2 linked regions of the Saccharomyces cerevisiae S288C genome follow. The protein of the gene in region 1 interacts with the protein of each later gene in a pairwise test. Each region holds a gene or a part of one and is shown in the gene's direction. Other genes may lie near its edges.

The links. The genes of interacting proteins can lie anywhere in the genome.
Region 2: the proteins of AAH1 (region 1) and SAF1 interact in binary tests that used the Saccharomyces cerevisiae proteins (3 or more experiments, as listed by UniProt).

Annotation. Positions count from the first base shown.
Region 1 is NC_001146.8:356,188-363,623, forward strand, and holds AAH1 (adenine deaminase), read left to right. Parts: upstream 1-3,408; coding exon 3,409-4,452; downstream 4,453-7,436. Other genes in the region: YNL143C (uncharacterized protein), read right to left, coding at 607-999; ammonium permease MEP2, read left to right, coding at 1,266-2,765; YNL140C (uncharacterized protein), read right to left, coding at 4,730-5,299; THO2 (Tho2p), read right to left, coding at 4,737-7,436. UniProt on the Saccharomyces cerevisiae protein: Catalyzes the hydrolytic deamination of adenine to hypoxanthine. Plays an important role in the purine salvage pathway and in nitrogen catabolism.
Region 2 is NC_001134.8:762,284-766,671, reverse strand, and holds SAF1 (SCF ubiquitin ligase complex subunit SAF1), read left to right. Parts: upstream 1-1,974; coding exon 1,975-3,888; downstream 3,889-4,388. Other genes in the region: glutamine amidotransferase subunit DUG2, read left to right, coding at 1-1,702; PAF1 (Paf1p), read right to left, coding at 4,078-4,388. UniProt on the Saccharomyces cerevisiae protein: Substrate recognition component of a SCF (SKP1-CUL1-F-box protein) E3 ubiquitin-protein ligase complex which mediates the ubiquitination and subsequent proteasomal degradation of target proteins.

The DNA of each region.
Region 1 (7,436 bases):
TTTGTTTTACATCTTTTCATTTTTCATACATTTTATTGAGGCGTAGAAATGAAATGGGTAGAGCGGCACATGGATGTAACAATCTCCATTATTCACGTCGAGCCGATACCCGCTTCTGTTGACGCTCTGTTAAGCATAGAACCTACGAGATTTGTGCTAAAGGACGTTGGCAAGGAAGAAAACTATTGTTGATGACAGGATTTATAGCAGTAAATATTTTTTTCTTTTTTGCGAAATTATGTACGTTTCTCATCCAAGAAGAATCCTGTTAATATTTAAATTTCTGCTAGTCATTATCATATTGCAATGGCTTTTATTAGTGAAAGCCACTGTCAACAGTAACTGAGCTACTCCCTCCAATGTTGTCTAACTCTATGCTCTTTTTGGCGTCTGAATGAGCCATAACGAGGGAAATAACTGTATCAGGAATACTAACAGAATACAGATTGGATGCACTGGTGCTGGTGAGTTTTCTTTTTCTGATATTATTGGATAATATTTTCAGCTATAGACTATCATCATTCAGCATTGGTCACGCTAAAATATACGTTCCATGCATACGTGATAGCCTACTCGGTTGTCAACTTCATTTTATAGGCTGCCTGGTCACCGATTACCGCCCCGCTCAGCAGGACGGTTTAAGCTTCTGTTCTTGGAAACGACGTAATTCATGTCGGCCATCGAAATCATTCCTGGCTTTGTAATAGTCATAATGAACAAGGAATGCTGTCTTGGGTTTTTTTCCCTTTGCGAATACCCGGGCTGCCAAAATAGAAAAGGAACAAATGGTAGGTCTTTAAGATAAGAAAGATAAGATAAGACATCTTTTTTTTTTTTTTTTTTTTTTTTTTTTTTTTCCGATAACAAAGAAGAATCCTTCGGTCTCTTCTTACTGCTGTTACTGCTTATCAAGAGTGTCTGGTAATAGTCAAAGCCAGATAAGATAAGAAATGTAAAATCGACTATTTCCCTCGTAAAAAGCTTCAATTGCTCACGCATCGACGAATACTAAGCGGCGTGAAGACCCTGTGCCTTATCAATGAAGTATTCAGTACAAGAGGTGTTCATTCCGAGCCACTTTTCTGCACCATATATAAGCAGTAGTTACACATGTGCTAACCAAACATCAGTGGGTAGTAATCATTCGTGCTTTCACGTCCTTTCAAATTAAATATCCTTCTTAAATAATAAGTCTGCACAGAGCTTTGAAAGAAGTTTAGTTTTGTAATATATCATACTTAATATATTACAATACAATATCAACAATGTCTTACAATTTTACAGGTACGCCTACAGGCGAAGGAACGGGTGGTAACTCGTTGACAACAGATTTGAATACACAATTTGACTTGGCCAACATGGGATGGATCGGTGTGGCTTCAGCAGGTGTGTGGATTATGGTCCCAGGTATCGGTTTATTATATTCTGGTTTATCCAGGAAAAAGCATGCTTTATCCTTGCTTTGGGCCTCGATGATGGCTTCCGCCGTGTGTATTTTCCAATGGTTTTTCTGGGGATACTCATTAGCTTTCTCACACAACACTAGAGGTAACGGTTTTATTGGTACCTTGGAATTCTTTGGGTTTCGTAACGTTTTAGGAGCCCCATCTAGTGTCAGTTCTCTTCCCGATATACTGTTTGCCGTTTACCAAGGTATGTTTGCCGCAGTCACCGGTGCCCTAATGCTAGGTGGTGCCTGCGAGAGGGCAAGGTTGTTTCCTATGATGGTGTTCTTGTTTTTATGGATGACTATTGTTTATTGTCCTATTGCATGCTGGGTCTGGAATGCCGAGGGTTGGTTGGTCAAATTGGGTAGCTTGGACTATGCAGGTGGTTTATGTGTCCATTTAACATCTGGACATGGTGGTCTAGTTTACGCTTTGATACTGGGTAAGCGTAATGACCCTGTTACACGTAAAGGGATGCCCAAGTACAAACCACATTCCGTCACCTCGGTGGTTTTAGGCACAGTGTTCTTATGGTTTGGTTGGATGTTCTTTAACGGAGGCTCTGCAGGTAATGCAACTATACGAGCATGGTACTCTATTATGTCCACAAACTTAGCTGCTGCTTGCGGTGGCTTGACATGGATGGTTATCGATTATTTCAGATGCGGAAGAAAGTGGACTACAGTTGGTTTGTGTTCAGGTATCATCGCTGGCCTAGTGGGTATCACCCCAGCCGCCGGGTTCGTGCCAATCTGGTCAGCCGTTGTCATTGGTGTGGTTACTGGTGCAGGATGTAACCTTGCTGTTGACTTAAAGAGTCTATTGCGCATCGATGATGGTCTAGATTGTTACTCTATCCATGGTGTGGGTGGTTGTATTGGTTCTGTATTAACTGGTATCTTTGCTGCAGACTATGTAAATGCCACTGCAGGCTCTTACATTAGTCCAATTGATGGTGGCTGGATCAATCATCACTATAAACAAGTTGGTTATCAATTAGCAGGTATATGCGCTGCACTAGCCTGGACTGTTACTGTCACATCTATCTTGCTTCTAACTATGAATGCCATTCCATTTTTAAAACTAAGATTAAGTGCTGATGAGGAAGAATTAGGTACCGACGCTGCTCAAATTGGTGAATTTACATACGAGGAATCCACTGCTTACATCCCAGAACCAATCAGATCTAAAACATCGGCACAAATGCCACCTCCTCATGAAAACATTGATGATAAGATTGTGGGTAACACAGACGCAGAAAAGAATTCTACGCCTTCCGACGCTTCTTCTACTAAGAACACTGACCATATAGTATAATGATATACTCAAGCAGACTATGATTTTATGTTTAATCTTTATGTAACGCTTCATTTAATAATTTTATTTTTAATATTTGATATATTTTCTTTTTTTGATAACTCCGAATGATGAGGGGAGACGTTAGTATTACTTCTCTTGTCTTATGTTATTATCATAATCGATGACTTTAACTGTGCACACTATAATATACAGCATCTCCAGAGCATGATAGCAAGAAATTTTCTTTAAGAAAGCCTCTATATACCCTATATATGCTGTTAACAGGAAAAGAGCACAAGGTTTATTTTGCTTTGGTTGCAAATTTTCATCGCTTATAGAAGACATATTTTGATGTAAAAACCTTGATATACTTCCTTTTTGCCTTATCTTTCACTGTTTCCATCTCTTTTCTTTTTTTTTTTTTTTTTTTTTTTTTTTTTTTTTTTTTTTTTTGAATCTTAAAATTCTCGAAACTGCACTGAAATGGCGCAGGAAACTGACCTCATCGCATGCCAACGAAGATTGAAAAAAATTAACATATAAGGCTTATGAAAGCGACATCTTTTGCAAATGAATAATTGACAAGCAGGCCTGTGTATTTATAGTTATTTTGAAATAATAACTACCATTAGAACTAACAAAAGAAAAGAAAAAAAAAATAATGGTTTCTGTGGAGTTTTTACAGGAGTTACCAAAATGTGAGCATCACTTGCATTTGGAAGGTACTCTAGAACCTGACCTATTGTTCCCATTAGCTAAAAGAAACGATATAATTCTACCTGAAGGTTTTCCTAAATCGGTCGAGGAATTAAACGAAAAGTATAAGAAGTTTCGTGATCTGCAGGATTTCTTAGATTACTATTATATTGGTACTAATGTCTTGATTAGTGAACAAGATTTCTTTGATTTGGCGTGGGCCTATTTTAAAAAAGTTCACAAACAAGGCTTGGTCCATGCTGAAGTGTTTTACGACCCTCAGTCACATACATCTAGGGGCATCTCCATAGAAACAGTCACTAAAGGTTTCCAAAGAGCTTGTGACAAAGCCTTCTCTGAATTTGGTATTACATCCAAGCTAATTATGTGTCTGTTAAGACACATTGAACCAGAGGAATGTTTGAAAACTATCGAAGAAGCTACCCCATTTATTAAAGATGGTACTATCTCTGCCTTAGGATTAGATTCTGCTGAGAAACCATTTCCCCCACATTTATTTGTTGAATGTTACGGAAAGGCCGCCTCATTGAATAAAGATTTAAAACTAACTGCACACGCAGGTGAAGAAGGCCCCGCTCAATTCGTCTCGGATGCTTTAGACTTGTTGCAAGTAACAAGAATCGATCACGGTATCAACAGTCAATACGACGAGGAGTTATTGGATAGGTTGTCGCGCGACCAGACCATGCTAACTATTTGTCCTCTCTCCAACGTGAAGCTACAAGTAGTCCAATCCGTTTCAGAGTTACCACTACAAAAGTTTCTTGACAGAGATGTTCCATTTTCTTTAAATTCTGATGACCCCGCCTATTTTGGTGGTTATATCTTAGATGTCTACACTCAAGTTTCGAAAGATTTCCCACACTGGGACCATGAAACATGGGGTCGTATCGCTAAGAACGCCATTAAAGGTTCATGGTGTGACGATAAAAGAAAGAACGGTTTGTTAAGTAGAGTGGACGAAGTAGTCACTAAATATTCGCATTAGTACCATTTGCAAGACATTGTATAATATTTTTGTTGAAAGTCTTTTTCGATTCATAAGCGCTTTTTTGTAAATTTATAACACTATGTGTATGCACAAATTTCATTCGATGTTTTTGATGCTTTTTACATCCCCTTTTGTGTGGGAAAGGATACAATAGAATTCTACAAACTTATTTGAGTGATTATACGAGCATTAGCTGGACCTTTTGTATTTCACGAGATTACAATTCGGGAACTATCAAAGTACACGTTAAAATTCAGCTCGGGTATGTTAAGTACTAGTAATTACCTCTGGTACCTACTGACGTAATTCCCACCCTTGGGACCTTGCGGAAGCGCCTGAGTATTGCTCTTTCTATTTCCGTTGTACCTTTGATTTTCATTGGCTCTATGGGCAGCACCGCTATCTCGTGTATTTCTATAATCTTGCGTTTGAAATTTGTTTCTAATTGTTTCATCCTTCTTGAATCTTTTATTCGGCTTTTCTTCATTTTCTGAAGGCGAGTCGCGCTTGTAAGATGAAGCTTGGTAAGGGTTGGCTTTGCTGCTGTCTTTGCCCTCTTGAAATGGCTTTTCAGGAAACCGTAATTGTGAACGTTGTGAACTGTTTTTCTTATACTCTTCACGTAAGCGGTTATCCCTTTGATCAAAACCATCGCCCCTGTCCGGACCTGTGGGTCTAAGTGCCCTACTTCTATCATTATATGTTTTACTTTTACTAGGTCTAGTTGGTAGTTCTGACCTTTTATGTGCATAACTACTGATTGGCTTAATATTTTTGGGTGCAGAACGATCATTGCTTGGTCCTCTATAGTTGGAACTACCATAACCATCTTTGCCTCCAGCATTTCCGCTGTACCTACTTGATCTTTTGGTATATTCAGGAGCAGCAGCTTCAGAATATGAGCTAGTCGTATCTGGGTATGGCTCGCGCGAGATATTTTTAATATACCTTTTAAGCGAATCAATTTTTTCTGCAAAATCTGGATTTTGAGGATTTTGAATGAGTGTCCTAAAGTACCTTTCGAATATTTCCAAAGTCGAATTTCTAAAGTCGAATATTGGCATATTTTGCTTAGATAATTTCCTTAAATTCCGAGTTTCATCGTCGTTCTCTACTAAGGAAATTGCCTTTTGTAAATGGTTCGTGGCCAAATAATGGTTTATATCGTCGACGTGCCTGGTGACTTTGGAATATGACCATTGACTACTAGAAGGTTTTGTTGGGATTACAGGCTCATTACGAGAATAAGTATATCTATCCTTGCTATTTAATCCAGCACTGCCGCTTGCAACACTTTTGGGTGGATCATTTTGAAGTCTTTGCGACTTATTAAGCTCTAACTGCTTTCTTAAAGCTACTTGCTTTTGTTCATTTTGGCAAGCTGTTTCATAATTTTTGATCTCTTCTAATTCCATTTCACGTATTCTCTTTTGTTCAGCTTCCTCTTCAGTTAAGGTGCAGAATTCGTCCAATTCTAAAGCGTCCTTCAAACGCGCTTTCAAATGGCCAATCAATGCGCTGCTTGGTAGTTTAATATCCTCCCTTTCTTCATTTATCAAGTTTTCCTCTAAAGTTGTGTAAACCAACTGGATATGAGCTTTCACTACAGGGAAGACACTAGTGACGTGCTTCATGAATTCAATACCGTTTCTAATTGACATGTAATTTTTTTCGGATAAAAGGTCAATGACTTGCTCGGTAATTACTGAATGCCATTCATAAAGCTTTCGAGAAGCTTGGTCGTTGAAATCGCCATTTAATCTCATTTTTTCAAGCTTTTTAAGAACGTCAGTGAAAAACAGACCTAAATTGCCTGCTTCAGAGCTAGTACAACAGAACAGCAACGTTTTTAAAATATTTGATGTAATACAAGTATTCAATATCGACATCAAATTTTCTGTCCTAAAAGCCATAAAGATAAAAAACGAAGAGAAGAGAGCATCTGAAGGAGAAAATAAAACCCTTGGCACAACACAATTCTGCAAGAATATCTTAATTTGATCTTCCCCGCAGTCTTTGTTCCAGACATTTGATTTTTCAGATATAAATTCTGAAGTTTTCTTGAAGGCTCTTTGATGCGAAATTCCAGTAACCAAAATATCCTTGATTTGATTCTGAATCAGGTGTTTTTTTCTATTTGACATGTGGCCCGTGTTTTCTCCGGATAGTGCATTCTTACGCTCGTCATATAGTGATTTATCGAAATGGATATCGTATAATGAAAGTCTCCAAAAAGTAGTGAAAAGATCCTTTGATATTTTCGTTAAATCAACATCGCTAAACTCTGCACCTTCAATTAATTCATCAATAGAAAAATTCTCATTTGAGTTCAATTGATTATCCAAGTAGTCTCTCCATATGTGGAAAGTCCACGGTGTCGATAAATGGAACCTATTATTCAATTCTACAAATGGGAGAACATTCTCTTCAAATGCTTTCCCTTTCAAACAATGTTTAATTAACTCAATAAACGACCATAACAATGTATTCATTTCATCGCATCTAGTGGATAAAATTTTGTAATGAGAATTTTGCGTATTTGCTTTCAGGTTTAAAGTGTATAACAGGAGAATAATCTCAGAAATAGCGCTCTGATCAGTGAAAAATGAGGTTAGCCTCGACGAAATAACCGAATTATCATCTCTAAAATCATATATGAGATGTCTTGCATATTGCTTTAATGGTGATCCTGAGTTTAACATTAATAGTTGCTTCATATTAACTTCGTTTAAGTCTCTAATGCCCCCGACTGTAATAATTAATTCCTTTAGGATAGAAACTGCTATGATATTCCCATTATGCAACGTCTTTAAAATATAGGTGATTATATTTGAGATATCCATATTGGGACAATTTTTGGCCAAACCTGCAATAAATATTGATAATCTCTGGACCCACATGGCCTGGTTAACACCATCAAATTGAACAGCAGGCCTGTTATAAGTTAAGCGTAACAATAATACAAATTGCAATACATCATA
Region 2 (4,388 bases), on another chromosome or scaffold:
GGACTTAAATACTCAGCAAATAATCTCAACTCTGAAAACAAAGCATGAATCGGACGTCATTTCAATATCAGTTTATATGGACCATGTATTTGCCATTGATGAATCAGGCATCACGCATTTTTACCAGAACCAAGTTAACCATTGGAACCCTCAACAAGGAAAAATATTAAGCTCAGAGATTTTCAGTAAATCAAATGCTGGATCTGTTAGTTTATTAACGGGTGGTAGCGATGGGTCATTGACTCTCTGGGATATAACCTCATTATTATCTGCGGTGCCTCTGTCAAGCAACTCACCCATCAATGCATCATCTACATTACAAACCACCAATTTATGGGCCGCCTATCAATCTGCCTCTCTAAATAACGAGGAGATGTTAAACACACTGAGAGAACTTATTTCTTTCCAGACAGTGTCTCAAAGCAAAGACACTACTAATACTTTGTCATTAAGGCGTTGTGCAATCTACCTGCAACAATTATTCTTGAAGTTTGGAGCTACAAACTCCCAATTATTTCCATTGCCTGATGGTGGTAATCCTGTTGTATTCGCATATTTTCAAGGGAATGGGAAAGTTTCACAGGTGAAGGGTGCCAAGAAAAAGCGTATTCTATGGTATGGGCATTATGACGTTATATCGTCTGGAAATACTTTCAACTGGAATACCGACCCATTTACTTTAACTTGTGAAAACGGATACTTAAAAGGTCGAGGAGTATCAGATAATAAAGGGCCATTGGTGAGCGCTATTCATAGTGTGGCGTATTTGTTTCAACAGGGAGAATTGGTGAACGATGTCGTATTTTTGGTGGAAGGAAGTGAAGAAATCGGATCTGCTAGTTTGAAGCAAGTTTGTGAAAAGTACCATGATATTATTGGAAAAGATATTGACTGGATTTTATTAAGTAATTCTACTTGGGTTGATCAAGAACATCCATGCTTGAATTATGGATTGAGAGGTGTTATTAATGCCCAAATAAAAGTCTGGAGCGATAAGCCTGACGGACATTCTGGTCTTAACGGTGGTGTTTATGATGAACCTATGGTTAATTTAGTGAAAATCGTGTCCAAACTACAAAACGAACAAAATGAAATTATGATTCCAAATTTTTATTCACCATTGAAAGATCTGACTGAAGAAGAATATCAAAGGTTTCAGAAAATTACCGAGCTTGCAAATATCGACGAAAATACTACTGTTCAAGATTTAATTACCAACTGGACTAAGCCTTCCTTGTCTATGACAACAGTCAAGTTTAGCGGTCCTGGTAACATAACAGTTATTCCAAAAAGTGTCACCATGGGTATCTCCATCAGGTTAGTACCTGAGCAAAGTGTAGAACAAGTCAAGAGAGATCTCAAAGCGTATTTAGAAGAAAGTTTCAAGCAATTGAAATCTCAAAATCATCTAGAAATTAAAGTTTTAAACGAAGCAGAAGGTTGGTTGGGTGACCCAACAAATCATGCATACCAAATATTAAAGGACGAAATTACTACTGCATGGGACGTAGAACCATTGCTAGTAAGAGAAGGAGGTTCTATTTCATGTTTGAGAATGTTGGAAAGAATATTCGACGCGCCAGCTGTTCAAATACCATGTGGCCAATCCACTGACAATGGCCATTTAGCCAACGAAAATCTCAGAATCAAAAATTGGTCTAATTTGACTGAGATTTTGTCTAAAGTATTCAATAGGTTATAAACAACTACAAACAATTGATTTTAAAGTGCTTAATATATACCCAATTTGCATATGTAGGCCTCTACCTAATGATAATTAGTTAATTTGTATTTAATGTCCGTATTATTTTGAAGGTATTGCTAGATGATTCTTCCGGGCGCCTCGCCGAGACCCTTTTATTGAGCAAACGGATGATTAATGGATAAAGGCGTATAAAAGCTCCAACCCCTTTTTTGGAGTATAGTTTTATTGTCCAAAGGATATACTCTCAATTATAAATGGAAAAGCACATCATGAGTGAAGTTGAGAGCAGAGAAAAGGAGCCTGACGCAGGATTGTCCCCAGATATCGTTCAAGCTACGCTACCATTTTTAAGCAGTGATGATATTAAGAACCTCTCGCAGACAAATAAGTATTATAATACATTACTAGATTTTGACCACTCTAAAATTTTGTGGCATGAACTATTTCATAAGGCATTTGGGACATTAAAGACAAATGACGAGCCTTTCCAGGGTCGAAATTCGGCGGAATTTAAGACCTGCACAGAGACGATTTTAAGAGAAGCATTCCCCACCTTGTCATGGCAGGAAGTATACCAATTACGGGCATATGATGCAAAGTTTTATAGTTGGGGTTATTTAAAGCATGGAAGGTTGGGCTATACCGCGAGTTCCAATAATGAACTTGTCGCCACTTCACTAAACGGGCCAAGTCCGCGGTTCAAATATGGTGTCAATACCCCCACTGAAGTTCCTTGGTTTAACAGTAGGACAACATCTAGAACTAGTAACTTCACTCCTTCAGAGGACCCGTTAAGCGCCATCAAGAAGGATGGAGACGAAATCATAGCTCAAGTATCTAGTGGTGGTTTTTCTTTCCAAATATTGACTGAGTCAGGTAACCTTTACAGCAGCGGATCCACTTTTTCTGGAGGGTTAAAAGGACCAGGTCCCAGTGGTTCACAGCATGATTATAATCCCTTCAGAGAAATGATTCACAATATGGAAAGATCGTATCCGCGGATCACTAGCCGCAGTAATGGGAGTACTGTCAATACCACGGGTACATTTTCTGGAAGGAGAATGAGCGGTAGCCATCCATCTACTGCTTATGAACCAGGAAATGCAACTACAGCTCAGCATATTACCATAGATAGCGGAGGTGCGCCTGCAGCCTCTCCCGGAGGGAGCCATAGTGGTGTCCCTAGAACTACAATGCCTTCAATGGGGCCGCATGAGAATATTTACAGCCAGATAGAAATGCTGGAACGAAGTGCTAACAAGGCTGTACCAGGAAATAATCATATCAGGAGAATGTTCGCAAGAAATTCTTTCCCATTATATAGTGGTAGGGATGAAAATTTAGGATCATTTAATGATATTCAATTTGTCGCGGTAAGCTCTGGGAGAAGTCATTTCCTAGCAATGGATACAGATAACAATATTTATTCTTGGGACTCAACGGAATCTGACCAAGGTGTCAAAATTGAGTTTGCTAACCTACCTAGTCGTGCTACGAATCCTATTTTGAAAATTGCTAGTGGTTGGAATTTCAATTGTTGCTATATATATAAGGTCGGGTTGGTTGCATGGAAAGAAAGAGATGCTATTCAAAAGGGCGAGAGCTTTGCTTTTGCAAAATACGAGATTGTCCCGAATACGAATGATGTTAATGGAGACTCCAGGATTGTCGACTTTGCATGTTTACAAGATAACTGCGTTTTCTTCATTAATAACAACGGCGATAAACTATGGAAGTACCACAATGGACTGAACCAGATAGTAGATTTAAATATTGTCGGAAAACTGTGCAAAATTAACGCCTGTTTTGCTTCATTAGTCCTCTTCACCGATACTCACTGTTATACTTTGAAAGTAACAAATGGAGATGTCGATAAAGATAGTTTAACGGAGCTAGACATCAATGAAAATGTTATCTCCGTTGCAAGTGGTGACTATCACACGGTGGCACTAACCGAACGCGGTCATTTGTATTCATGGGGTATTGAAAGTCAGGATTGTGGGTGCTTAGGATTGGGCCCTTCTGAAAAAATAGTTAACGAGCTACATATTGGCAATTGGGAAGGGCAAAGAAACATTAGGGTCGTTAAGCCCACGAAAATAGAACTACCTGAAGATTATATTTGTGTCAGTGTAACTGCTGGTGGCTGGCAAACCGGTGCATTAATCATCAAGAAGCATTGAATTTTTAGGTGTCATTTCGATTTTGCATTTTGGATTCCGTTTGGGTGCTCACTATCTTTTTCTTCTACATTGAGGTAATGCATATTTTATTAATACATATTTATAATATTTACTTTGGTTTTTTTATTTCCAAACAAATGTAAAAAGAACTACAGGTTTAAAATCAATCTCCCTTCACTTCTCAATATTCTATTCTTCTTGTAAAGTTTCCTTTTCTTCCTCTGGTTTTTGTTCAGTATGAACAGCATCTGAAGTTTCGGGCGTATCAGCTGCACGGTTTTCATCTTGTTTATTTTCTTCATCTTGTTCATTCTCTTTTTCCTGTTTGATTTCTTCATCCTTCTCATTTTCTCCTTCTTGCTCAGAACCTTCTGTTTTTGAATCGCCTTCCGATTCTTTCTTAACGTCTTCTGGTTGCTCCTCGTCTTCATCGTCTTCTTCATCTACAGTGGCGAAATTTATGGGGTCAAACTTCATTCTTAACTTGTCCCTTATGTTAG